Regions from separate parts of the Mus musculus genome. Here regions 2, 3 and 4 are each reported to be linked to region 1. The links are microRNA targets in miRTarBase. Many come from high-throughput screens and were not tested one by one. Region 1 holds a microRNA gene; each other region holds the end of a gene's coding sequence.

The links. The annotated mature microRNA mmu-miR-34b-5p reads AGGCAGUGUAAUUAGCUGAUUGU and lies in region 1 at 3,767-3,789, opposite strand. An mRNA with a match to its seed (bases 2 to 7 or 8) in the 3' UTR can be bound and repressed. Matches are read on the target gene's strand: a 7mer-m8 pairs with bases 2 to 8, a 7mer-A1 pairs with bases 2 to 7 and ends in A, and an 8mer does both.
Region 2: the mRNA of BC055324 is a reported target of mmu-miR-34b-5p. The part of its 3' UTR that is shown has no 7-base or 8-base seed match.
Region 3: miRTarBase lists Znrf1 as a target of mmu-miR-34b-5p. The part of its 3' UTR that is shown has no 7-base or 8-base seed match.
Region 4: miRTarBase lists Rgs17 as a target of mmu-miR-34b-5p. Seed matches in the 3' UTR shown: 7mer-m8 at 5,448-5,454, 7mer-m8 at 2,681-2,687 and 7mer-m8 at 1,174-1,180.

The regions. Positions count from the first base shown.
Region 1 is chr9:51,099,844-51,106,964 of GRCm38, forward strand. Mir34b (microRNA 34b) reads right to left here and starts at 3,802; the gene lies at 3,719-3,802. Hoatz (HOATZ cilia and flagella associated protein) reads right to left here and starts at 2,235. Exons shown (of 6, transcript NM_177702.4): 1 at 1,902-2,235; 2 at 1,211-1,249; 3 at 157-227. The coding sequence starts at 2,127. It overlaps Mir34c (microRNA 34c), which reads right to left and starts at 3,267; the gene lies at 3,191-3,267. It also overlaps a transcript of Btg4 not described here.
Region 2 is chr1:163,948,402-163,955,522 of GRCm38, reverse strand. BC055324 (cDNA sequence BC055324) reads left to right here. Exons shown (of 24, transcript NM_201364.2): 23 at 67-186; 24 at 1,184-1,517. The coding sequence ends at 1,378. Scyl3 (SCY1-like 3 (S. cerevisiae)) reads right to left here. Exons shown (of 14, transcript NM_028776.5): 11 at 6,210-6,381; 12 at 4,797-4,955; 13 at 2,907-3,586; 14 at 397-2,141. The coding sequence ends at 2,085. Among named protein-coding and RNA genes, the nearest start is that of Scyl3, 22 kb to the right of the region's middle.
Region 3 is chr8:111,621,178-111,628,298 of GRCm38, forward strand. It overlaps Znrf1 (zinc and ring finger 1), which reads left to right. Exons shown (of 4, transcript NM_133206.4): 4 at 419-4,543. The coding sequence ends at 476. Ldhd (lactate dehydrogenase D) reads right to left here. Exons shown (of 11, transcript NM_027570.4): 8 at 6,922-7,049; 9 at 6,311-6,401; 10 at 6,101-6,212; 11 at 4,434-6,013. The coding sequence ends at 5,848. Among named protein-coding and RNA genes, the nearest start is that of Ldhd, 5.6 kb to the right of the region's middle.
Region 4 is chr10:5,826,867-5,833,987 of GRCm38, forward strand. Rgs17 (regulator of G-protein signaling 17) reads right to left here. Exons shown (of 5, transcript NM_019958.4): 5 at 1-6,275. The coding sequence ends at 6,087. Among named protein-coding and RNA genes, the nearest start is that of Mtrf1l, 6.5 kb to the left of the region's middle.

The DNA.
Region 1 (7,121 bases):
AAGCTTTTCAAAGCTTAGGTAGCAGAAGTAGCACATTTTATTTACATGCATTTAAAAATAAAATGTCCTCAACAACAACAAACAGTATTTATCAATGATGGAGAAAGGTAATGAGAACCAGAGAGGTGAACCAGGAGAGATGAAGCGCTGGCTCACCTTTTGGAGATACTTTGCTCTCTCTTCAGATTCCTGAATCCTTTGGGCTTTAGCAAAGATAATTGCATCCTCTAGAGAAAATAAAACCAAATTTAATCTGACACAACTTTGTCATAATTCTTACAGTTTTGACATGAAATTGGATATGGGAGAATAGAGTAGGAAGGGACACAAATACATACTGTCTTGACATTATAATGATTGGTAAATAACTGAAGACTGCATTAATTATTCATGATGTCAGGAACCCTCCCATACCTTTACATGATGAGTAAATCATAAGTGGAGATAAGAAACAGCCTCTAAAGAGAAAGTGCCTGTGGGACCAGGAATGCTGGGGAGAAAGTGCCTGTGGGGTCAGGGATGCTGGAGAGAAAGTGCCTGTGGGACCTGGGATGCTGGAGAAAAAGTGCCTGTGGGTTCAGGGATGCTGGAGAGAAAGTGCCTGTGGGGTCAGGGATGCTGGGGAGAAAGTGCCTGTGGGACCAGGGATGCTGGAGAGAAAGTGCCTGTGGGATCAGGGATGCTGGAGAGAAAGTGCCTGTGGGACCAGGGATGCTGGAGAAAAAGTGCCTGTGGGATCAGGGATGCTGGGGAGAAAGTGCCTGTGGGGTCAGGGATGCTGGAGAGAAAGTGCCTGTGGGGTCAGGGATGCTGGGGAGAAAGTGTCTGTGGGACCAGGGATGCTGGGGAGAAAGTCCCTGAGGGGTCAGGGATGCTGGAGAGAAAGTGCCTGTGGGACCAGGGATGCTGGGGAGAAAGTGCCTGTGGGACCAGGGATGCTGGAGAGAAAGTGCCTGTGGGGTCAGGGATGCTGGGGAGAAAGTGCCTGTGGGACCAGGGATGCTGGAGAGAAAGTGCCTGTGGGGTCAGGGATGCTGGGGAGAAAGTGCCTGTAGAGTCAGAAAGTTATCTTCTGGGTGAGTATGTGAGCCCTGAAGCAAGGTGTGGGATATGCAGCTTAGTTATATCACAGTGTAAATGTATACTTCTAGGAATTCTAAGATAATCTGGGGAGTCTACATATAAAAAGGCATTAAAACTTGATACTTACTGTCCTGATCAAAGGGAAAGGGCTGGACAGAACTTTTCTCTAAGAAATACAAATGAAGAGAAAGTTATTGGAAAAGCTGACATGAACAGTATTTTAATTTCATATACCTATTAATATTGAATAAGAACACTTTATACATCCTTGGCCCGAAGGCTTGTCAGTCAGGAAACAGGGTTCCTAAATTAGACTCTGCCAACAACTTTTTCTTGGGCTTTTAAATTTGAATTCAATTTTATGTAAATGCTTTCCTAATCTAAGCACCATTTCCTTAGATTAACCCATCCTCTTTGCCAAATAAAAGCCATCATTTAAGGGACTCTTAGAATTTTTTTTTTTTTTTAAGATTTTCATTTTATTTATGTGAGTACACTGTAGCTGTCTTCAGACACACCAGAAGAGGGCATCAGGTCCCATTACAGACGGTTGTGAGCCACCATGTGGTTGCTGGGAATTGAACTCAGGACCTCTGGAAAGCAGTCAGTGCTCTTAACTGCTGAGCCATTTCTCCAGCTCTAGAATGAATTTATATGTAACAATGAGATCCTTTACAGTGGAGAATTGCAGCAGTTTTAGAATTGTTTGTGTATTTGCATATACCTATTACTGCCTGTTTCTGCTTGTTTGTACTTCTCAATTGACTGACAATTAGACCAGGCAGTTTCCCCTTCCAGGAGGTAGCCTTGCTACTCACCTCTCAGAACGACTTTAGAGTTCCGCGCCACCGGTAGCCTCTGACTGCTGCCTCGGGTCAGCACGAGCTGAGATTCGGTAGTGGGGTACATGGACGCCCCGAGCCAAAACTGCTTAGCCAAATTGGCATCCTGCTCAGAGCAGCCGGTGAACACCAGTAATCCAGGGGAGCAGATTTCCTGGGATTCCTTCCTGCCGCTAGGACAGCCTCTGGGCCCCGTTTCCATGGTGACTCAGGACGCTTTCCTTAGCTCTGGCGTCCCGCCCCTACCGGAGAACCGTCCTGTTGGTAACTGCCACCACCGGAATGCCTGTGTTTCTTCTTCCGTAGATCTGGGGTTCCTCGAGGGCTTGTGGCCCATCAGCAGCTGGCTTCTGTCGAGGTCACAATTTTCGGGGCCAGTCAAGCCTTAAGAGTAAAAGCCTCAACTTTGTGATGTGTACAGTCCTGGACTGTCTCTTAGATCCTCAGCCAGCGTCTCCTCCTCCCCCAGATAGCCCAATAATGTGAGCTTTAAAGAGCGCCTTCCTCTTTTGGACAAGATTGCCAAGGCTTCGCACTCTTACCTCTGGGGAAATTCTCAGGTTTGCATTGATACATCTGCATAAAGCGCTAATCTAGAACTGGGCCGAGAAGTACCGGTGGATACAGCTTGTGTGATTTAAAACCTCTCAAATCTTTTATTACAGATATTAGGAAACCAGCTGGTTTTAAATCGTGTTCACTAATTATTCCCACGAAAAGTTGCCTAGAACGCAACTGTTAATACCTTAAAAAATATACCTGGTTAAGTGGGCTGAGTTCCCTTGCCCCATGGAAAATTATGAAAACATTTAACGTTCCCTTCCAGGTCACAATCATGTGTGAGACGTTTCCCTGGAGATTTTGTCTGTATAGCAACTAACCATTTAATGACTTTACGGGGTTGACAGGAGCTGAAATGGAGATCCTAAAGCCAGTTTTTGGAAAGGAAATGAACACGATTGCTGAGATTTTCGTGGCGCTTTATTTTTTAGAGTGTTATTAATATGTCAGGCAAAGTCCAAAGATTTATAATCACAAGTCAATATAATGACCAAATCAGCTAAGGGATAATTTCTATTTTTCCAATATATCTAAAAATCACAAAAAATGTACCCCACACAAATTGATACATTGTATACTTAGCAGCTAAGGGCTAGCGGTTCCCCCCCCCCCCCCAAACCACTAATAGTATGGTAAGAATATTTCCCTATGGCTCTGTCCTCACCAAAATGACGATTCACAGGAGGCTCAGTCGGAGGAATTTCAGTCTTTTTACCTGGCTGTGTGGTTAGTGATTGGTACTATTAGCAATCAGCTAACTACACTGCCTAGTAACTAGACTCAGAAAAAAGCATGCAGTCTTTAGCTGGTGCTCTCAGACTTTGGTGTGACCAGAGCAAATCGTCAGCCAAGCTGTGGTTGACTCTAGTCGCTGCCTTGGTGATAGCTTTCTCAGAAGTGGAAATCAGGCAGTGAATCACAGCAGCAGCAGGAACTGTTCTGGGGGGGGGGGGGGGGGGGCTCTTCCTGGCCTTTTTTTTTTTTTTTTTTTTTATGTTAAGGCCGGTGTATACCGATTCTCTTTACACATCACTGAACCGTTTTTGCTCTGGCTCTTACACACAGGTAGCCGAACGGTCCCTAAAGGAGGCCGCCGGTCTCCGAGGGTTACTTGCACTTAGACCTCGTGCTCCCGGCCCTTTGCTGACGCATCCTGGCTCCGGCCTCGGCTTTCTGCGGAGTCAGTGGGGCTGCAGCGCTGGCTTCTCCTCCCGCGGGCGGCGGGTGATGCTGTGCCTTGTTTTGATGGCAGTGGAGTTAGTGATTGTCAGCACCGCACTACAATCAGCTAATTACACTGCCTACAAACCGAGCACCGGGCGCCCGCCACTGCAGCTCCCGAGGGTCGGGCCCCTCGCCCCCTTTCGCCACGGTCGACAGGCGAGGGCGGCGGAGCGAGAGGTGCCTCAGGCTCCCGAGGCCCCTCCACACCCAGCAGGGCCGCGCGCGACCCCAGGTGAACCCCCAGGCGCTGAGGCCCCCTGTCCCCGCCGTCCCCCCCGAGACCCCCGACTCAGCCCGGACCCCAGGGCATCCGGCCCGAGTCCTTCTTCCCGCAAGCCGGGTCTGACCCGCCTCCAACAACTTCTTCACGGCTTCCAGACCCAAGTCTAGAGCCGGTTCTGTCCAGCCCGCGCGCCCCGCAGCTCCTACTGGCCGAGTGACCGTGGCTCAGCGACCAACCGCCCTTGGAACCCCGAGGCCGAGGGGGCGGGGCGAGTGGGGGAGGGGTGGCAGAAGCTACCAGAAGGGGCAATGGGAGGGCTCCTGCAGAGCCTCCTGGGAAGGGGCCGGGGAGATGGAGAGACAGATTCTTGAGAAGTTTATCTTCACAGTGTAGTTACTGCTACATCGAAGAAAGAAGCGCAGAGACCTACATCCATCTCTCCTTCCCAATATATTGCCCAAGAAGCCCCAGGCCTCCTCACTGTTCATATGCCCATTCTCAGAAACCGCTTCCCAGGCGTCTCATCTGGAGCCTTCCTGCCTGAGCAGGCCTGGGCACTCATACCTGCAGGATTGCCCTTGCCTGTACCCAAGTTCTTTCTTAGGACTACCTCTTACAGGGCCATACAGTGAAGTGTGGGCCACTCTTCTGGTCAAACATTGAACCAACACCCTTGTTGGTAGGTCAAAGTTGTGGCCCTTATAAGATCAAAGACACAGTTTTGATGATCTCCCCGTGAGCCTTGAGGATATCTAGTCTCACTTTGGGCTCCTGTTTTATTTAAATGTTACAAATCCAGCACCTAACAGGCGTTTGTCTTACTACCCATCAGACAGTCTAGGTGGTAACAAAATGTGAACACATTATTTATTACTCCAGACAGTATAAAGTTGCTAAACTGATAGATTTTCCTAATAGAAAAAAACAGGTATGGGTGGGGGTGGGAGGTGTGCCAACAAGAGCTGACAGACACCATCATGGAGGAGGTGAGAGTTCAGGTAGATCCTTGAAGCAAGGGTAGATTTGGACATTAAGGATGAGGTCTGTAGAAGCCCGAGAAGCCATATCTTCTGTCAGTTACATTCCCCTTGTTTTTGCTATTTTATATCTGATAACGGGGTGCGTGTTTGTGTATATTGGGAATAGGAGGCGCTGAGGGGACAGCATTTCTGCGCCATCTTCACTAATATTTCTTTCCTTTAGTCTTTCCTCTCCTTTCCTTTAATTAATTGAGCCCAGAGAGGATATACAGTATTCTCTGATTGCAAACTTTGTGGAATTCAGTAGGAAGTAGCCGTCCCAGACTGTGGTCTTCCTGTATGCTGTATGACACCCATTTGTATTGATCCAACAGTCTTGCAGTCTACAAAGGGACATTTCTTAGCTATACACTGATACCTGTAAGCCCAGCAAATGGTCTTGTAGATGCCACTAATTACATGAATATATGCCAATCATCAGGAACATTCAACACAAATTCCAAGTGGAAACCATTAAAACCCAAGAACTTCCCAAGAATAAACTTGTGTATATTTTAACATTATCTTTGAAAGTAAAAGACAATGTTTTTTTCCTTCAGAGTCATTGTTTTATGAAGGCTTAAGTGAAAGGAAAATGAAGTAGAAAATGCCAGATTATTATAAAATTAACTTATGAAAGACATTTGTAAATAACTATCTTGTATTCAGTCTTCTTGTATTTGAGAAAAGTATAATGTATCCTACAAAAGGTCATTTAAACGTTCAAATATAAATAAAAGTAGTAGAAATAGCCTCCATCCCATAAACACTATGAAGAGTTACAAGTTTTAGGAGGACATCATTAAAAAATCATTTATTTTGCATTTTGCTCAATTTCACTCCATGTGTCATGCTTCCACCCAGCTTAGGGATTTTCTCTATTAGTAGCATCTTAAATATCTTACCTGAGTTTTATTGCTTCCATCCAAAGCTATCATTGCATAAACTGTCTTGAAATTTAGACTAAATTTTTTTCTTCAATGATAAAAAGTAAAATGATGAAAAAAAAATGCGTGTGCCCTAGTTCTGTTAGAAAGCAACAATAGAAAAGAATGTCTGTTCTTAGGGTTGCTGTTGATCCTGCCCACAGTTACTAGAGAAACTCCAAGGATCTTATTGCATCTGCTGGTCATGCCTAGGCATGTCTAGAGACCAGGGAGACTCATGTTTTAATCTAAGTAAGAATGCCTGTGGTGTGGTTAAAATGCCCAAGCAGACCATTACATTTGGTTAGATAGATCCAGGAAGGCACCTTGAGGAGGAGCTGTTTACTGCTTTAATTTCTGGGTTTTTGTTGATCTGGGAGATGGGGTAGGACCTTTGAGGAGATGGGTTGATAGTATTGACCGGAAGGAAACCATGAAAAGTATCAAAAACAAGAACTTCCTGCGTGAATCTGACAAATTTATCTTGACTTAATTTATGACTCCTGTAAAAGGGCCATCGAGAGATGACTTCCTCCTGTCAGTACACACAGCACATCGTCTGTACACGTCCTCTTTGTTTTTAGATAGGGACTCAATTAGCTCAGGCTGGCCTTGAGCTCTTGTTCTTCTTGATACAACCTCCCAGTTGCAGGCTATTTCTGCAGCATTTGAAGGTTCTTGTTAGGGAGGAAAGAATGAAGGACACTAATTAGAAAGCAATGATCTTTAGCCACTTCTTTTAAAACATTTCAAAAATGCATACTTTCCTAGGAAATAAAACCATGCATTTTTTTATGCAGACTATCAAATGTCAGATGACCATATTAATATTCACGATAGTATGCTTAGGAACTAGTTTATAAGTTGAAGCAAGGCTGAGTTGAAGTCAATTTAGCCCTTGAATAATTACAAATCAATGAATCTGTTTAATCATAGTGGGTTGTCATCTGAGCTAGAATGAACTGCCAGCAGCTCTATACCTCTGGTTTCAACTCAATGAACTCTCATTAGGAAAAGTTCTCAATTAGCTTCTTGTTTCCATTTCTCAATTAACCAATAGTTTTGCTTTCAGTATCAAATGTTAATTTACTTTTTTAGGAACAATCTAACAAAAATAGCTTCCTAGTTAAGGTTGATGGAGCTCTTACTCCAGAAACAATTCTTGTCTATTTCTCATCTCTAGGGAACAACAGTCTCCAGAGATGTGGTTTAATTGGAGGGATAGACAGTTTGTTTGTATAGA
Region 2 (7,121 bases), not on the chromosome of region 1:
TTCTAGATTTCATATCACTTGCTATCTAGTAGAGAATGTAATGTGTTCTTTGGTGCTCTTTGGCAGACAGAATCTGTAGATGAAGCTGAGGTTGCCACAGTGGACAATGTGAAGCAGGAGAAAGGCACTTTCTGGGAACCTGCTGCTAAGGTGACTGTAGAAGAAGTGAAGACGTCAGCGTTTCAGGTATGGGCTGCTTTTAAGCATGTACTGGTCAAACAAGGGAATCTGCCCTCATTACTGATGAACTAGTTTGATTCTTGTCCTCATGTTGAATTTCAAGTAAAATGTAGACAGGTAAAATTCTTACTTTATGGTAGTTGTACATCAAAAACCAAAACCAAAAACCATACACTTTCCCTGAAATGTTACCAACACAGACAAGAACACAAGAAATAATTGTAACCATTGTACCAAATATACTCTTTATTATTGGTAATTGCATATTGTACCAATGATGACATAAATGCATTTTCTGACACTTAGATGTCAGTTTGTTCAATTCATCTCATCAATAATAATCACTTTTCTCAAATATCACATGTACCTATTAATTGGCAGAAATTTGACACGACTACATACATTCAAAATTGTGTTTTGAACACAGGTGATAGAATAGGGTCCTAAGGAAAACAATGTTCTAGGTTTATAGTGCAATAGTAACTTGTTTTCTTGGATGTAGCTGTAGGCCTGAATATATATAAAGTTCAATTTAAGTCAGTTGTGTTCGAAAGCCCTATGAATTTAAACTGTGACTTCCCTTTGAAAAACTAGTTGTTAAGATATGTTTTAGTTTCACCTCAGTTCCTCTTCCCCTTCTATGCAAGATGTCTGGAGCCTTAGTTTTCCTTAATTGGCTCCAAAAGTATGTTGAAAGGTATTATGGCTCTCAGCATTTACAAACTTATTAGGAAATTCATGTTTTATTTCCTTAATGATGTTTTTAAAGACTACTCGTGGATAGTTGTTGGACAAGACAGCATTTATCATTGGGAACCGTTGCACAGTGCGACTTCTTGTCTGCCACATACAAGTTAGGACGTGGAGAGTAGTAGCACATTTAGGTTATTGTTAATACAAATGGGAAGGCTGCCTTCTTCGTGATCCTATGACTAGTTTCTCTTATATTATTTTTAGAATGAGTATTATGTATTACTTGTTTCATGATTTCCTTATTTTCCAGCCTCACACAAAGAGAGCCCGTCGGGTGTTGCCCTTTGAAGAAGAATACAGATCAGTATTTAAAGCTGCAGCAAGGGCTTTGGAGACAACTGAGTTTTTACTCAAACACTCTCTTGCTCCAGCATGGCTGCTGCCAGAACTGGAGGCGCTGCAAGGAAGGATCGAGAAGCTAAAACGCTGTGTGCTTACAGGGTAAAATATGAATGGCCTGTGTATCGACAGAACTGGGCTGACTCTTCAGATGCCTGCCTGGGTGTTTTGTAAATGAAATTGTGAATGTAAATTATGTTTGTATATTTTCATAGCACATAAAAGAGCTTTTGTAAATGTGAAAATAATCTTTATTTGACATAAAGAACAAGATGGGAGATGAGGGTGGGTATTTCTCATTGAGAGCTTTGGTCCAGTGTAATACAGGTGAAACAGTAACTGCCCAGGTCCGAAGGAGAGGGACAGACTGTAAACAGACAAACTGCCTAAGGAGCCTTAGCAGTCTGAAGTTATAATTTACAGCTAGGTTTGTTTGTTTTCTTTTTCCACTAAGTTATTTCATAATAGAATTTACTCTTTTAAAGAAATGGCACAAAATTAAGCTTACCAGCTTGAATTTTTTATTTCTTCCAGAATTGTCCTGGAAAAAAGCACTTCTTTAGCTGTTTGCTTTGTATGGAAACTGGCCTCAGTCAAGTGCACACAGCACTTTCTCCTGGACTCTGGCACCGAAGCCTTTTGCCACCAGGACTTAGTCAGCAACCTGAGGTTGGTCTCTGCTTGACTTGGCACAGACTGCAAAAAAGAGCTCCTGGTGTGGGGAACACAAGCTGCTTTGGGGTTTTGCATCCATGCAGCTTGCTTTGAGGTATTAATTCTTTGAGAATTCTTCCTGAAGCTTTTCATTATCGTCACCAGTTGTTATCTTCCCAGGCTAGCTCTTCTCCTTCCCAGCCTTCTGCCTCTCCCTGCAACAGAACACACTGACACTAGCTGTCTGCGGCAAATTGTGTACACATCTGAAAAGCCAAGCATTTAAAAATGACCCAGAGAGAATGCCTTATGATAAGAAACGATAAAGCTGTTACCAAAAGTTAAAAGCAAGATTAGTTCTGATGTTAAAAACCACACCCATTGGAAAGTAAGTGTGCAACACAGTGACATCTTTCCCCACATCGAGGAGTTACTCATTTAGCAGGTGGACCCAGATGTGGCCAAGGACAGTTATACACAAGGCACAAAACAGAAGATATAAAATGGGTTTGTATTTTTAAAAAACATTGATGTGCATGCATATATCTATGCCCCACTGTGTCTGGTGCCTGTACAGGTCGGAGGGATTGAATCTCCTGGAACTCGAGTTAACAGATCATTTCATGTGACGCATCCTGAGAAAGCCAGCAATCAAACCCAGGCCTCCAGAATAGCCCGTATTGTTAACCATAGAGCCATCTTGGTAGTTTGATTTCTTTAAAATTCTGAACCATGAACACTGTAGATGATAGCATTGTGTCATGTTAACAGGTTGGGCATGTCTGAAGGACTAGTTCCTTTTTGTAGCACTCTGAAATAATTTTCTAGGAACTGGTTGTATTATTTCTGGGTTTACTTTGAACATTTTTAGTCAGCTGTGCACTCTGTTCTTTCGTTGATAAAAATGCTTGTTTATTGCTAGCTAGGACTTCTGAGAGAAACCCTGACAGTAGCACGCTTATTACAAAGAAAGAACTCACCTCGGTCATTTCTGTTGCAGCAAACTTTGAGGAAAACTGCATCAGTGATGAGACGTTATCCTTGTCAGGGACCATCACTTCTGTCCTTAGTTCAGGCAGAATAAGAAAAGTACCTGAAGGCTTAATTTCTGGGATCATATCTGCAAACCAGTCCAACTCCGGGTCTTGTACTGGCTTCTTTTTTACTTGAATGGTAAACTCTTCTCCCAAACCAAGTCCTGACGGAGCCTTCAGGGGTCTTTCTTGTGACACTTGGGGTGGTTTGACTTCCTCATGCTGTCTATGACTGGTCTTTGAGGAAGGACTGGATTGCAAAGGCTTTGACTCTTCAGTGAGAGGAACCAAAGCTGCAGAGGTTGACTGTCCCCCTGAGGTAACAGGCACAGGAGCAGAGGCTGTAGCTGTTGAGTTTATTTCAGTGCCAAAGCTAGCCTCACCATCATCCCAGGTCACCTCCTCTGCGGTCAGGTTTGTGTGCTGGGACTCTGCTACATCACAGGGTTCTCGGGGCCATCTGTGAATACTGGCAGGCTGCTGCTCAGGCTCCTCAGGCTCGCTCCAGTCAGGCCACTCCTCGGGCTTATTAGAACCTGCAGGGAAGCTTCCATTGTCCTCTGAAGTGTTTTTCACATCTGAGAGTCCATTCATAGGGAATTTAATGGTGTGAGAAAACTGATCACCTATGGGTATATGCGAGAATTAGTCTCATGAAATCTTAAAGCAAGCAATAAGTAGGTCTAATTGGAAATATCCATGAACACTAGCAAAAGTTAGGCAGTAGAACATAAAGATGCCAAATAGGGGCTGGTGAGATGGCTCAGCAGGTAAGAGCACCCGACTGCTCTTCCGAAGGTCCGGAGTTCAAATCCCAGCAACCACATGGTGGCTCACAACCATCCATAATGAGATCTGACGCCCTCTTCTGGAGTGTCTGAAGACAGCTACAGTGTACTTACATATAATAAGTAATAAATAAATCTTTTAAAAAAAAAGATGCCAAATAAATTCTCCAAATCCACATGGCACTTAACTCAAAGGCATACCATGTCATAATTAACTGATCTTTTTAGATCATTGACTAAATGTCCAAATACCTGTTGGCATAAGTCTTTCAAATACAGATAAATACAGAATCAGTCTTATCCTTTGGTAGTAATTACACCTAGAAATGTGTGCTCAAGTAAGTTTTTTGTTTGTTTGTTTTTTATTTATTTACTGGGGTTGGCAAGGAGGGGATCTGGGTGCATACATGCCAGATAGTGTATAGGTAAAGGACAGAGTGCAGTTGGTTCTACTTTTTCATTGAACTTGGGTTGCTAGCCTTTCGCCACAAGAGCTTTTACCTCCTGAGCCATCTGTCCAGCCCATTTCACTGTTCCGAGACTCATCTTTAACTGTGTGTGTACACGTGCATGTGGGTGAAGTGCCCACAGACGTCAGAGGACAGGATGCCCTAGAGCTGGAGTTAGTTAGAGGCCAGTGCTGGGGACCAAACTTGTGTCCCCTGCAAGAGTAATTTGTTCTTTTAACGAACTGCTGAACCATCAATCTGTCTGGCCCACAAATAAGTTTAAAACAGATTTTCTCAAATGTCATCAGGTATTGAGGGATCTAGGTTTACTCCAGTTTCCTATCCTAGTGAACATTTTTGGCTACGTGTCTTTATTAACATCTTATAGAACTCTTCACTTTTGGTATATTATGATGCAGAAGGTATCAGAATACCAAAGCATCTGATACAAAAATGAATTCAAGTACTGTTAATGTACAATGTGGGAGGATTAGATGCATAACAACTGTTTGGAGAGGTCAGACAAGACAGCTAGTCCAAAGTGTACTTACCATTCTCAGGAACAGCTCAGAGCAGTAGGACACAGCTGAGGTTCTTACCTGTCTGTGAGAGAGAGCTGTAACATTCTTCCTGTATGCGCTTCCTGCTGCTGCTGGGCACGTTGCCAGACAACCATTTAGGGAATACGTTAGACGAGGGGTCCTCCAAGACTTTTGAGACCCGACTCTGCTGGCTGCAGACAACATGCATGGGAGAACCTGAAGGGAGAGGGGTGTGCTTACACCTTGGACATGATTGGTGAGCAACAGTCAGGGGAAATGGTGCATGTAGCACAGATAAAAGAACATCATTAAATATTTGGTGAAAAAAACATTATTAAATGGGTTTCCTGTCTCCTGAGGTTAAAGACAGGTTCTGTTGCCACTTGGTGATGGGACAGAACTATGAGGCAATGCATAGATAAAATTTCAGTCCTTAAAATTGTTCTGGTAGCAATGTAAGACCATGATTCTAATTTCCTTTTAAGAATAAAAGGCTAGTAAGAGTACAAGCCCAAAATAATGACTTAGCACCACAGAACTATACACTGAAAATAACTTTTCTGTTGTGGTATTTGACAGTGAGTGAGGAAAGCAGGCTTAACAATTACCAGGAAACTTACACTTAAGATTAGATGTCAGTCAGAAAGATTTCTAATTACAGCTGAATATTTCCCCTACTTTAAAGCTAGGCTAAGGGGAGTGAAGTGTCACTCTAAGGCTTCAGCTCTCTAGAGCACCTGTCTCTCTCCTTCACCCTCAGCGCTCAGTGTCTAGCACTCCAATCCAAGGAACTGCATTAGAGACCCAGGATTTTGTAAAGAAATCATGGTCCTATTCAAGGTCATACAAAGTAGCAAAAAGGCTAATTTTGTTAATACAAAACAAACCAAAGAACGATTTCCTGAAGTACTCAAAAATATCTTTTATCCAAGTAGTCTAACAAAGTAACTTAAGCATCTAGTGTTAAAAAAACAAGTCTTTAGTCCCTACTAAAATTCAAATATATCCTCTAACCTACAAAGTCTGCTTCTGAGACTGCTATGGGAGTGGGACCACACATATAAAGATGCATGTGTAAGTATTCTAACAATACTAGTACATACTGACTAAAATCCAGCAGCAGAAACAGCAGCCATCACTAACTCACTGAATTGGATTCAGTGAAATATGAGGCAGGTAGAAAAGTGAGGTAGCGTTTATGCAATGACGTGGGAACACATCTTTAATATATAGTACATGAAAATAATAAATTTGTACATAGCATCATTAAAATAATCGTATGTAAACAGTTATCTGTCTCATGGGTTTGCAAAAAAGGATTCTCACTTAAGCCATTAAAGGTTACTCTGTACCCACTATGAGTTTGAAAAGAGAAATTCAACTTTTTCTCATGCTTTCTGTCTATTAACTTCAACATGAACCTGTATTCTATAATACTAAAAAACCTAATAAAATAATTTTTAGTCTTACCTTCAGGGGAAAGGTCACTAGTTTTGGTGAAGCTTGGAGCGGTGCGCTTAAAGATCTTGGTTCGTTCTCCTCCCACAACCACTTCTGGTCCAAGTAAAGACACCAGCACTGCCAGGCTACGGAGAGTAATTGCCACAATGGAATTGCTGGTATCACGAAGGCCCAGTAGTACCTAGGAGCAAAATTGGGGATAAGGGTAGACAACCATTATCTTTGTATCCTGGAAAGGACCAACTGGCCTGCAGTCATAAAGCTTGTTCAAATGAACGACATTTAATTTCTAAGGTTGGTGGCTCTCTAACCTTCTAAAGGAAGAAAACAATATCCATCCCTCCCAGTCCAGCTTGGATTGCTACTTAAGAAAACAAAACACCAGGACTGGCAAGCCAGCTCAGTGGCTAAAGGCTCTTGCTTTGAATCCTGACGACCATGAAGATCCCCCCACATGGTGGAAAGAGAACTGCCTCCCATGGGTTGTCCTCCACACATGAGCTGTGGAAGGTATGCATGCACATAAATGAAGGCACATACATACAAATATATGTATTTTTTAAGATAGAGCCCTGATGAAATACAATGGAAACTAAAAACTCCCAACTGCTACAAATGGCAATTTTACATATAAATATTCAAACTTTCTTCATTATGGAACATTAACAGCGTAGGAGCGACACTGCTCTGCAGAGCACACTCAGATCATTCTAGGGACTGACAAGCTATGTTGCTGGTCTAAACTCTATAATTCTTAACTTTATGCATACTCAGATGGGAGGAGCCCACAAGAGCTTTGTATATATTTAACATGCACCCACTGGCTGAGTTAATTATGGTCTCCCACCAGTCATCTAGCTGCATATTCAAAGAGCTATCCAGTTTGCTTAAAATAAGGGACAGGAAACCTTACTTATGGCA
Region 3 (7,121 bases), not on the chromosome of region 1:
AAACCTGAGCTCAGGATTATTCTTTTTTATTAATTTTAAGTTATGGGTATGTGTGTGCATCTATGTATATGTGCATCAGAATGCAGGAGCCTACAAAGGCCAGAGGGGTGAGATCTCTGGATTTATGGGATGGCTGTGAAGCAGCAGACAGGTGGTGTGAACCAGACTTGGGTCCTCTGGGAAGCAGCATCTCTCTCAAACCACTGACTCAAGCTCCCGTCTGCCCTCCCACCCTTAGGATATCGTTGTTGATCATCTTCCTTTTTCTGCTTCAATGAATTGGGGGCATAATCATGTTTCCCTGGGGTCGTTTCAGGAGAGATTTAGAAAGCCTTTCCTGAGAACCCCTTGAAAGGCTCCCTTGGCAGGAACAGTGTTGTTAGCAGCTAATGTGTTTCCCCTTGATGCCCCACTCCAGCTGCATAGACTCATGGTTTGAAGTGAACAGATCTTGTCCAGAGCACCCTGCTGACTGACCCTGCTGGGCCTGCTTGCCGACTCCTCTCAAAGGTGAGCCCATACTTGGCGGGAGACTCTGGGCTAAGAGTCAAGTTTCTGGGAGCTGGGGGAGAGGAGCTGGCCTGCCTGATACACACCCCACCAAGGAGAAAGCAGAAGCAGAAAGACAGAAGCCATCTCCTCAGAGAGCAGTCCCCAGGAAGTAGGGGGATGTTCCTGGGAGTTGGGGGAGCATGAAAGAGCGATAGTAACCTAGTCATGAGAACTCCATGCAAAGATAGAACCAGGCTCCTTCCCCTCAGGAGAGGCAGAAGGTCCCCTGCAGGGTGCATGGGCTGGAGCAGAGGCGCCCCCAGCCAGGCTCTACAGCAGCCTCACCTCCCTCACCTCTCAGAGACTCGGTTCTGAAAGGGAAGAATCACTAAGTAGTGGCCTGTGGAACAGACATTGTCCACTGCAAAGACATGGCCTGAGGTCTTTCCACTCCTGGTTCTTCCACCGGCCTGAGAGGTCCAGGCCACACTCAGTCCTTGTGTCCCAGGCACAGTGTCACAGCAGCAGGCTACTCCCTCCCACACACGCACTTCTGGTGCTGTGTAACCATTGGATCTGACCTTCATTTCTTCCCCAGGGTACCTTGTTTAACTGCCCCTATCCCGCCCCCACCCTGCCTGTGCCTTTGAGGACTGTGTTGGGTGTTCTCTCTCTTTTGTTTTGTTTAGTTTGTTTTTGTCCCATCCAACTGAAAACCATCAGCCCCTTCCCACTTGATCCCACATCCAAAGGCTTGGGGATCCCTTTTCTTCTCTCTCTTCTTTGTTGTTTTTTCTTTTGTTAGGTTTATTTTATTTATTCCAAGTAAATGCCCAGAACAGCTGCTGGTGTCAGGCAAATCAGGGACATTGGCTCTTTCTACCCTCACCTCAAAACCTGATGCCAAGCGAGGGAGAGTGAGGCAGAGGGACTGGATCCCAGCTCCAGAGTGCAGGTCCAGAATGCCGCCGCCGGCATGATGTTTGGCTTCCAATGGGCCTGCCTGGACTGAACCAGATGCCCCAGCCAACCAGCCTGGTCTCAGGGGGACACAAGCTGCTGCCACCGTGCGATGGAGCGGCAACTCTCAGCAAGATGAAGCGGGACTGACTTCTTCCGACCCACACAGGGACAGCCAGCCCCTGTTCCTGGGAGGAGGCTCCTCGGACACTGGACAGAGCTGAGCTTGGGACACCAGAGAGAACAGGGCACCCTTCTGCACTGACTTCCAGAAAATGGTCCTCCCTGAGGACACCCAGTGGATGAGAGAAGAATGAATTGACCTCTATCCTTCCCCTCACCCTCGACCCAGGAGGGAAAGGGCATTTTCTTTTTCACCTTTGAAAGGCGTTGTGGGTCTGTCTTTAAAAAGTGTTTACAAACAACAAAAAATTCTATAAAAAAGTCTTGTGTCGACTGGTGTTTTCCCTTGTGATGTTTACAGCCTGCTGTTTGCTGCCCAGCTAAAAACCACTCATGACAGAAGCAAGCATAGCCATGTCCTGACCCTAGCGCTCTGATGGCAGGTGGGCAGGCGGGCACACGTTAGTCCCTCTGCCCAGCGCCCCAGTTGGCTCTCTGCATCACTAACCTTTCTACCTTTGGGGATTCGTTTTTTTTTTGTTTTCTTGTTCTTCTGTCCCATTTTTCTGGCTTGGTTTTGCACTTTTCTCCCCTTAAATTTCCTTGATTTCCTTGCCAAAAAAGAGGAAGATGAAGAGCCCATCGTGGACACTTGCCCTCCCCCAGCCCCGAGTCTCCCCTGCCTTTCCTCCTGGATCTGATCCCATCAGAGGATTTAATAATCACAAATACACTGAAAAAAAAAATGCCTGGACATTTTTCCAAGGCCCCTGTGATTTTTTTTTCCCCCTGAGGAAATTTAGACTTAGCTAAAGGACTGTGTGCTGCAACCCCCATTTTCAGGCGCACGGAAATATTTTAGCCATTCACACATGACATCAGCCCATGCAGGATAGGTTTCTGTATTTATATATTAAAATCCAAAAAAAAAAAATTACAAAAATGTTTTAAAACTGTTCAAAGCTTAGGAGAAAAGCTTATCAGTCAAGGTGTTTTGATATGGTATTAAAATAGTGTGTAACAAAAGATGCACCGTGTGATTTATTTTAATGAAGTGTTGTTACACAATCAAGGTGGAAGGCAAATGCCAGTTCCCTCTGTCCACCTCTCAGCCCACACCCCCTCCCTCAGCACCTGTAATGGCTTAGCCACTCCTGGGCAGAGGCTCTACATAGTGGCTCGGCTGTGTCTTTGAAGTTTATAAATTCTTAAGCATCATGGAGTGATTGTCAGTCTTCTGTCATCTCTGGTTGTGATAGGATGCTACTGGAATGATATTCAGGGGCAAAGCTCTTACAGCCACCAGAGGATACAGGCACCTGGAGATGCCAGCCCAGTCCGTTTGCTTTTCAGAGCCTCTGCCCCCCTCCCTACCCTCTGCTTGCCTGTTGCTCCGTGCAGAGCCAAGTGCTGACTCATGGGCATGCTTCTCTGAGGCCCCGGAAAAGGCCCTGCTCTGGGCTTCTTCCAGCTCACAGTCCTTGAACCAGAACCAGCCACTCAGCCTCATACAAGTTAGCAAATTGCAGGCTGGGCAGGAAACCTCGGGGCAGAGCAGCAGTGCATACCTGCCTGTCTTCTAGCCAGGCTCCAGGAGCTGCATTTCAGGGCCTCCTGCAGAGCCAGCTAAGGGAAGCTCTGGAGGGAGATGGCACCACCTCTCTACCATGACCATTTCCAGACCTGCCCCTTGTACTGCTGTGTCAGGGCCCAGTCCCAGCAGGCCCACAAGTTTGGACTATGCTACCACCCTTGCCCTCAGATGCGTCCTGAAGCAATTGCTCTGTGCAAGGACATGTGTTGGAGGCCAGTGGGCATGTGGGCACCAAGGCAGGGAGGCAAGTTCAGAGAACTAAGAGTGCTTTATTTAGAGCCTGAGTGTCAGACGCCTCAGGACCTGAACTGTAAGCACTGTCAATGGCCAGAAACTGGGCTCTTGTCTGTACTGGGGCACTTTACTTCTTGGTGGAACCGTGAACTCGATCCCTTGCATGTGAAGTGGGGACAGGGTCATGCGGCTCGGTTCAGTTTGTGTCGGGGATCTGCCCCAAAGGCCTGGCACATGCGCAGCAGGCTTCCTTGTAGCTATGTCACTGCAAAGGGCACTGTTCTATTCCCAGCACCTCCAGCTTCTGCCTGGCACCTGTGTCTCCCCGTTCTATATATAATCCTACCAGCAGAGCTGGCGGGCCAGGGCCCAGCCCGCAAAGAGATCTCCTTGTCTGACCCCCGGGCCTGGAGACAGGCTTTGTGTGCCCACCTTGGCTGTGTGAGCTCGGCTGCCCTGGCAGTGCTGTGGCTGAGTCCCGTGGTTGAGTTGGTTGGGGCGGCGCTGAGCCCCACACCGGGTGCTATTCTAGGCTCTCTAGGCTGGTGCTCATCCCATCCCCAGTGACTTCCGCCCCCACCTGGCACACCAAAGCCCTCTGTTGGCTGTCATGTCCTCTGAATTTGGACCCAGATTGCCAGTGCCTGGTGTGAGGGGTGGGTGGGACTGGGCTTGTCTGGGCTTCCCAAGGTGGCACTTGTGTGTGTCACCTTTTATCCAGACAGCCCTCCAGAATCCTGTGTTGTTCGTTCCTACTCTGCCTTTCTGAGAAGGAAGAAAATCCGGAAGAGCCAAGGGATGGGTTCTTCCCCTTAGCTCTGAGGAGCCCAGAAAGCCTTCTGAGAGCTCCAGGAGCCCCTTTTGAAAACCACCCATCTAAGCCATTTAATAGTATTGAAACTCATAGGAGAATGTCCTCCTTAGGAGACAGTGGCTGAAATATATAGTTGAATGATTTCAAGAAATGTATAATCTAATCCCATATGGTCTCCCCTCCCCCAAAATATACAAAGCAAATAAGGCAAAAATGTCCATTGTTGAATCTTCAACGACTGATATTTCAGTGAATATAGTGTATTTGTTCTTTCAACTTTTTCTGTATGTTTGGGATTTTCTTTAATAAAAGAAATTGTGGGGAAATGGCTGTGTATTGAGTTTCCCATTATTGGAGGGTGTATGTAGGAGCCCTGCCCAGTGGAACTCAACTTGGGAGGACTTGAGGTGAACAGACTGTCTGGGGGTGAGGGGGGTTCACTGGCGATATTTCTCAATGGTGAATTCGGGACTGGTGTTTGGGTTTCTTCATCCTGAAGTAGTTTGGGAGCAAGCCAAAGAATCATGAGACAGACCTGAAGTTGGACTAAGAAAGTGTCAGGGTGGGGGGCAGGAGGCTGCTTCTTCCTTTTTTTTTTCCAACCCAAGTACCTAGCAGTAGAGAAGATGGTACTACAGTTGACTGGGACCCACAAGGGTAAAATGCCTAGAGACTGGCCACCCTAAAAGTGTCTGCTAGGTTTCTGGTGTTGCGCGCCCTCTCGTGGACTTCTGGGGAACAACTGCAAGTACCTCCAGACCAGGGCTCTGACCAGGGAGTCTCAAAACTGCCAGGCCCCAAAGTAGGCAAGACCCTGACTTTGAAAGTAAGCGCTGGTGGATAGAGCTTTATACCATGGATAGGGATGGGACACAGTAGGTTAGTTCATCTGTATTTCTATTGTCCACCATAACAGCTTGAAGAAGGTGCTTCAGTTTCCTGGTGGGGAAGCTGTCAGGTGACCTCCACCACTGGCAGGTCTCCTGCCTCAGGTATGCAAAAGCAGAGGGGCTGGGACTGACTTTCTTCCAAAACTTGAACTCCATCCCCTCCCCAGGCTACAGTTAGTCTGGGGATGGGCCCAAAACAAATGCTTTTTAGCCCAAGGTCAAGAGACCTAGAGGGGGAAAGGATGCAGCTGCAAACGGGGCTCACGTGACCAAAGAGCCGGCCCAACAGTGCCGGATGGAACGGTCCTCCCTCCCTCTGCAAGGAAAGGAACGCTCCTGTCATCATATATACAGGGTGAGTCATGATGCAGGGCACCAGCAGAGGAGAGGCCCCCACAGACGGATCTGGGATCTGATCTTAGCTTGGAGTAGATCCACACCACCTCTGCCAGCCAGGAAGACACCCCACTGGGAAACACCCTGGGTTTTCTACCGGAGTAAAAGGCTCCTAAGAACAAGGGTAGCAGCTTTCTGTGAGAGAGTCCAGCTCCCTCACCTTCATCTTGAGCCCCAGCTACAGAGGCTACCTGGCAGGCATAGATAGATAGATAGATAGATAGATAGATAGATAGATAGCATCAGCCCTTCCATTTCGTGCTCGATCGTTGGCATGAAGGAAAAGACCAGAACAGGGGCGGGCTTTGTGTTCTGGAGATTGCCAGCCAAGGGTTACACATTCCTCATAGCACTTTGCCTGGGTTCATGAGACCACGGGGATCCAGTGTGTTTTTGAGCTGCCGCATGGTCTCCACGCCCACGGGGCCCACTTCCTCTTGGAGCAGCTGTCGCTTGCCCAGTCCGATGCCATGTTCTCCAGTGCATGTCCCACCGAGTGCCAGGGCCCGCCTAGGAAGCCAATTGAAGGAACCCCCAGCACTCCTCCCTCAGCCTCCGCCCTCCCCAGCCCCCAACCCTCCCCGGTACAGTCCTCACCTGCCCAGATTTTCTGCAAAGGCCTTGACCCTCCTCTGCTCCTCTGCATCATCTGGGTCGACCAGGAGGATGCAGTGAAAGTTGCCATCACCCACATGCCCAACGATGGCTCCTAGGGGCCCAGAGAACAGTAAGTGTCGCCTCTAGTCTCCTTGCCCAGGCCTTGGCTAACCCCAGCGCCTCCCAGACGGCAGTGAAGTAGAACAAAACCTGTGAGTTTTGAAGCTTTAATCTCCTCCTTGGTCTCTACCAAGATCTCTGGCAGCCGGGAGATGGGTACACACACGTCCGTGGAATAGGCCTGAATCGGAAGGCAAGCCTGTGTGATTCCCCCCATCACCCACTGCCTACCCAAAGTTAAGGGATCACTGTGGTCAAGCCTAGGACCAATCCAAGGGGTCTTGATGTCGCGGAGTGACACATCTGACCCACTGGTCTTCTTCGCTAGCCCAGGTCTTCACTACTCCCCTGGATCTAAGCCTGGACCCCATGCAGGGTCCCAGCAGCCCCACCCTTCTGAACTTCTGCATAATCTGCCCAGCCGTCCCATCTAGCTAGACTGCCTCCTTCCTCTCCATTTCTTCCCCAGGAGGCCCTTCCAATGTTTAGAATTCCTAAGTGCTCAACACTATACCTGAGGCTGACTTGTGAACTCCTAAGTTTGGAGCAAATTAACAGTTCTTTCTCTCTAGACTCTGGAATAGCTGGGTGCAGTGGTCTATAGCCCCTTGTCCTCACACCCACTCAGCCAGCCCTTGGTGGGCCTCAGTCTTCTCTATGTGAGTGGGTAGATCCCACCTCCAGCCCCAGCTTCAGCTCACCTTACTTCCTGGACTCAGGGCCAAGGCTGCATACCAAGCATTGTGCCGCGCTGCCCAAAGTTCATTGCGCTTTTCGGCCTCCTTGGCCCAGGAGAAGTGAGAGCCACCATTATCCTGAGTGATTGCCTCTGTAGTAGGCACAGAAAGGCTGATGGTTAGACCCCTACACTGGGACAGCCTCAGACCTCACAGCGCCGTGT
Region 4 (7,121 bases), not on the chromosome of region 1:
TAGGAAGGAGGAGCCCAAAGCAAGAGTACTTACCCTAGTGGCAAGTAGATATCATGTAATAAGGTTGGCTATTCGGGGCTGGACAGGTGGCTCAACAGTTAAGAGAACCGAAGACCCTGATTCAGTACCCAGAACCCATATGGAGGCTTAAGACCATCTGTTGCTCCAATTCCAGAGGACTCTTCTGGCCTCAAGTGCTGCACACATGTGGTCACATACATACATGCAGACAAAGCACTCAATCACATAAAATAAAAACAAATATTTATGATAGAAAGAACAGAATAACATTATTCCTTTCAGAAACTAAAAACAAACAAACAAAAACAAAAAAAAAATCCCCACTCATATAAACAGGAGAAGTCTTGACAAACCCCACCCTGCAGAGCGATGCTCTGTAAAATAGACATCACTTCCACTCACAACTGTCAAGGTTTTGAAAAAACAAGACCATTTAGAGAGAGTCACAGCTGAAAGAAACACAAAGAGAGGAAACAACAGGAGGTCGTGTGGTTACAGGATGGGAAGGGCAGAGAAGGCAAGAGGTGAAGGATGATGATGGAGTGGAACACAGACTCGATGGGTCAATTTTAGTTATTATTTGGGAAAATTGCTTCCCAGACACATAGAACACATGAGGGCATTTACTGCCTCATCATTTTGCTATAAAGCTGAAAATATTCAAAAGTTTGGTGAAACTGTTAATGAACACTTAGCCACTTGTATTCATCTTTCTATTCATAGTTTCATGATAGAATCGACAAAGTCACACTAATATTGAAGGGATTATTTTCGAATCATGATTTATGACATTGCTTTCAGCTCTGTTGCCCACTGGCATACTTGGCATACTGGTAACTAACTTGATTCTATAGTATTCCCACCCACAGGGATGGTCATTTTATTGCCTATGTCTCCATCTTTGAGTGTGTATTTCTGTATGTGTGTGTGTGGTGTGTGTGGATGTTTCGATGTGTCTGTGTGTATGTGTGCTTGTGCATGTGTCTGTGGGCGGCATAACTGTATGTCTGTGTCTGTGTGTATATGTGTCTCTGTATGCATGTGTGTGTGTGTGTGTGTGTGTGTATGGTGTTTGTCCATACCTATGCACATTTTAAAGTTTCAAGTATGTTTAAAAAAAAATAAGCAAAGAAAGTAGAAGGCCCTGGGAAAGGCAGTGAGGAACAAATGAGAAGAAGATATCATGAGACACTGGTATGAAAATGTCATGATGAACCCTCTTTGTGTGCTAACCTAAACTTTCCAAGGAAACACGAGGAGAGAATACAGTGAAATGACACCAACTACAGACCTTCCAAAAAATGTTATTGTTACTAGGCTGAAGAACTCCGGTCAATTATTATATGCAACATTACTGTTCCCATGGACACCCCATAGTCAATATTTTAAGACAAAGAAACAGATTCAGATTCAGAAAGGTTACGTGACTTTCCCTACCACCTCTGGATAGAAATACAACTCGAAATCAGCTGTCATTTCAAAAGGAAATGTGCCCAAATCTTAGACAGTTTGTTTAATCATCGGTTTAAAGCTCACATATTTCTAACTGTTTAAAAAGCTGAAAATGCTGTGATAAAGGCACGAATCAATGGAAAACTTTGCAACAGAAGACATACGATATAAGACATGAGGAGGGGACTGAATTTCAGATTTCATGCACGACATTAAAATAGTACATGTGGCTATCATCACGAATACTTTAGGTCATGGCTTTTTCTCAACTTAGAGCTTTATGTCATGAGAATCAGAGTCCACAACCCCATTTGCCCAACGAAGGCTACACTCCATCTCCCTGTTTTCTACAGAATGATGGTCTGGTATAGTCTCTTCAATCAGTGGGAAAGAAAACATGTCCCTTATGGCTGCTTAGGACTTTATTTGTAAAAGAAATATTTTTTAACACCCACAGAAATCAAAGCCAGTGCTCCTCCATGCACTGTGTGCACTGCAAAGATGTTAAGACGATATTATAATCTTGCAGACATGTTCTGAAGGAAGGTTTGGTAGGTTTTAGTGGTAAATATTTGCAATTGTGGCAAGTGGAGAATTGCTAAGATTATTACACATGGTATGCTCCTTTCTAGGGACAGCATTTTATGATCATCAGAAATTTAAGAACAGAAAAGAGTACTCAAACAGACTTAAAAATAGATACTTTGGAGATTGGTCATTAACTGCCAATCTAAATAGATAGGTAACCCAATCTGTTGACCGTATTTCCTGTTTCAAAATAATATGTCAATATATAAAAGCTGAAAGTATTCAAAAATTCATGTTATGTCGGGTTCTAGGTGTATCTTCTACCTGTTTAAAAACAAATTGATGGTTCTTCAAAAAGTTCATTTTTCTATGCTTTATTTTCATTCCTTCCACTTAAAAACCTTCACCAAAGCACCTGAAGTTTTTTATTTGTTGCAAGTGTAGTTTCCACAATTACAATATGACATTTTTCTGAGACTATTAAAAAAATTCTAGAATAAAAGAATGAACTTAAATTAAGATTCAAGTATTTTAAATTAGCATAATGGGAAGAGATGTACATTTGTTTTCAACAGATAAGCCTTTATCTATTTCTATAGTCCTTTAACACTTAACTATCAAATAAATATAGCACATTCTGTATACTAGGAGACATTGAAGGGCACTAATAAATGTTCTAGGCAGTGACACACTGTTAGAACTGGTCATATATAAATATTGTAAGACTGTTTTAAAGGCCATATTGTAATTTTTACTTTTACATTTATAACTTCAGTATCAAAATCCTGTTTTGTTAACATTCATATGCCCTTTTCATGCCATCAGAGCATCGGTGCTAACTTTGGATGATGTCATAATAAGTCAGAAAGAGAAGAGTCACCCCTTCAGCATTAGCATGTCTATGTGTAAGATCCACCTATGAAGACATCTGCCTTTGAGTCACCGCTGTATACATCACCTACACAATCTCCTTTGCTTTCCACAATAGATATGCCTATAGACAGGTACTATAGAAAGTGCGTTATCCTCTTGTGTGTGCATTAACAGATTCTGACAATATGCAAAGTTATCTTGGCAATCGTAAATATAAGGTGCTTCATTTAAAGTGCTAGGGTCTCCCCAGGGAGCGATTCACCCACTAGGAATTAAATCAAACTTGACTATATCAAGTGTTGTGCTCTTGAAATGGTGGCAGACACCAGTTGTGGGCTTTTGTTTGTTTATTATAGCTCTGTGACTTAAACAGAAGAAACCACACCATATTTTAAAGACTGGCATAGTCACAAGTCCACAGACACACTCTTCAAAACTTGAAACATTCTCAAGTGAACTAAGAAGCCATCCCCCTGAAATATGAATTTAGCATAGAACTGCTCACATAGCAATGGCTAATGGCAGGGACTGTGCAAATCAGCTTTGGAACCTCCTTGTACACAGGTTCCAAAGACACAGCAACTTTGAAATCAAACACTGCAAATGCCTAGGTTAGAGATGAGGACTCTCTCAAGGAGCCTTATCTCTTCCATTTGGTAAAATATTAAATGCATTGTCACACAGACAGCTCGCCCAATAGTCCAGAGCGTATTGTAAAGATCGCCTGTGACAGTCAGTCACTGGCATCCATGGAACAGGGATATAATAAAGTCTACATCGAAAACAATCATGCATGCAGGGTGTGGTAATATATTACATTTTTCCTGGTCATGTGCACCAACTCATTGTGCCCCAAACACAGAACGAGGATGATGGTACACTATACATGTGTATACATCCTATTAGCATAATCAACACTAATCAAGGAAAGAATCAAATCATTCAGAACGGTGGGACTTCACAATAGAAGCCATGATGCTTTTACGTTTTCTTGACTCTTTAGGAAAAAATAGGATTATATTTTTGTAAACATCTTCATAACTATCTTTTTTTCTCAACAGATTACCAAAACTATTCAAATAGTAAACATCTAGGTGACATAAGCAAAGCGTATCTTAAACACACTAACACTTTCAGGAAAAAAAAAAATCCACAGGCATTTTTTAAAAGATGAATATTATAAATATCTTGCATTTAAACTACATTGTCATAAATAATGTATTTAAAAGTGCTGAGCATGGTAGGATAGTCAGCGGCGCCAGTGTAAACACAACGTTTTGTTTTTCCACTCTGCAAATTGTTTTTTTAAAATCCCATTTTGTCAAACACTGCAACAGTTAAAATATTTGCATAGGGAATATGTAATAGCCCTTTGAATCATAGCTCCTGAATTCTATATAAATTAGAAAATCATATTCACTTAAAAAACAATTCTTGAAATGTTTTAAATTTATGGAAAAAGAAACATGATGCCAACCTTTCAAGTAAAATAAAGTTAAAAAGAAAACTCCAAACTTGTGCTTTAAAAAAATATGTTTAATAAATTAAAAATATGAGAGGTAGTTAAAAATGACAAATAAAACCTATAATTTTAATATCATCCTTAATATAAGGCCTGTATTCTCAGTGGATATAAATCTTTTTAAATCTTTCATTTTTAAAGGTTACTCAACATATACTCATTGAGTTTAAGATTAAAAAAATAGGCTCCAGGGGATTTTGATATTGAAAGGTAAGACCTTGATATAAATATGACATTGATTGTAATTTTGGTTTTGTGCACAAGACGATACTGTTCAGAAGGTCATAAATACATGCTGTGGTCAGGGGAGTATTTCATGTAAAGAGTTAATGTAATTATAAAAAAATAATATTGGCAGCTAGAAGGTTTGAGCACTGTACTGCCTTTTAATTATGGATGAGGGTTAAGAGTTTGTTTTTAACAATGTTAAAATAAGTCTTTCTTGAGAGACTATGTGAAAACAGTTAAGGTCTGACATTGAAGGTTTTCTTCTTTGTAATTCTTTATAAAGTGTTACTTAGGAAAAACTTAAGCTTTTCACTGGATTATATGTTCAAGGTGAATACGCCACAAGTCAGATGCAATTCCTCACTATGCTTTTGACAGTGCTACATGTAGGCATTCCTTTACTAGTTCTTTTCCCTTTATATTCCCAAACTGGATTATCGAACTTATTATTGTTTACCTGCTGACATTCAGAGGTTTGCATCACTCTTTTAGAACTGAGGAGCCATTCTTTAATAACTCAATTATAGTACTGGACATTTCATATATACATAGACTCTTTTCTTCTTTCAGACCTAAAAACAGTATCACTCTTGGAATTTTCAATGAGACAGGATATCTGCAGATTGTTTTGTGCTTATTAAAATTTTTCTTATCATAAAGTTTTGTCTTCTCTCTCTTTCTTTTTCTTCTTTCCTTCTTTCTTTCTTTTCCTTTCTTTCCTTTTTTTCTCTTCTTTTCTTTCTTTCTTTCTTTCTTTCTTTCTTTCTTTCTTTCTTTCTTTCTTATATAGTAAACTCTTCTGTAACAAAAATGCCAGAATTTGGGCAGTGAACAACCAGAGGGCTCACACAGTAAGATCCTTTAACAGCTTCTATTTTTTTTAAACATGTACAGAAAAATTGGCTTCAGAGACGGTATACTAAACACAGTATGTAGCATGGTTAAATATCACTGTTACATGTTTAAAATAGCCTTTGTGTGTATTGGATTATGCTTTTAAAAAATGCAAACCACGGCCAATTTGTTGGCAATTGTTTCTAAGAGACCATATTGCACAAAAGTCCTTAAATACAGATACAAGGTATGCTACTGATTTAATAGCACAAGTAAAGGGCAGACGAAGCAGTTTTACTTTGCACATGCGGCCTCTAGAGATGCACTAGGGGATTGTTCAGAGGACTAGGAACACAATTTGCTTGCAAGTAGAGCAAGTGTTGAATCAAACAAACTTAATTTGGCAATTCATTGTCTCATATAGGCTTTTTTTGTTGTTGTTGCCCCAAACAGAATCATGGATAACCTTGATAAAAATGGAGACAAGAGACCTTCCTCATTGTATTTCCCCAGCAGTCAACCTGTAGTTTTTCAGGAACTCAATTTCTGGTGTTATTTAATTACTTTTATTTCCCATCCCAGCCCTCTGAAATGGATTTTTTTTTTTTTTTGGCCTGTCAACTGAAAATTAGGATTCAGAAGTACAGCTGGTGGTACTTTCCACAAAAGCTTTATAGATCTGTGAGTTCAAGAATCTTGGGAAAGAATCTCTGTGCATTAGGGTGTAGATCTGAAGCTGGGCGTCTTCATACATGTGTGGGCTGGGGTCCAGCAGACTCCTGTTGATCACCTCTCTAACTCGAGAATCCAGGCTGACCTAAAAGGAACAGAAGCAGATGTGCCCATGTGGTTTTGTCAAATAAAAGGTATTGGTTAAGTAATCATGACATCTCAGAGAGATTTCATAGGTTCAATCTCACACTCACGACACTCACACCCATAACACTGGAGATGGTCCTTCCAAAGGCTAAATCATGCTTACTGATTCCCCCTTCCCCGTCTAATGCTGAATTAAACAATGGGGAGAAAAAAGAAAAAGAAAGAAACTAGAAATTTGGTTCACAGATATCTTCGCTCCTTTATGTTGATCTTCTCAACATATTATAGAGTGCCAGAGAAGAATCAGGGGCTGGAGAGATGGCTCAGCAGTTAAGAGCACCAATTGCTCTTCCAGAGGTCCTGAGTTCAATTTCCAGCAACCATATAGTGAGAAGGGCTAGATTTATCCAGAGATGAAGGTCAGCAATTTATTTCCTCAGTATGACCCAACCAACTTAAGCTAAGAAAAACTTATCCATCTTTTAACTGAACTATATATTCTTCTTTGTTGGGAATTCTCCTTTTAAAAAGATGTTTTGGCTTCTGGTTTTCATCTGCACCCAGGAGCGGGCCCTTTTCTACAGTCCTCTGCACTCCAATCCCACCAAGAGAAAGCTTGCCCTCCAAGAGTGCTGACACACCAAAGCTAAGAGGTAAGACCACTACTACTGCCCTAATACCTGGCCCAAGTGTGACCTGCCTGGGGCCCAGTGGATCAAGAAGCCACAGTGCAGCTGGGGACACCATCATTCCAGTATCCTTCTCTGCCTGGAAATTGACCCGGTGTTACAGCCCTCAGCACCCTAATCCCACACAGAGAAAGCTTGACCCTCAGGACTGCTGA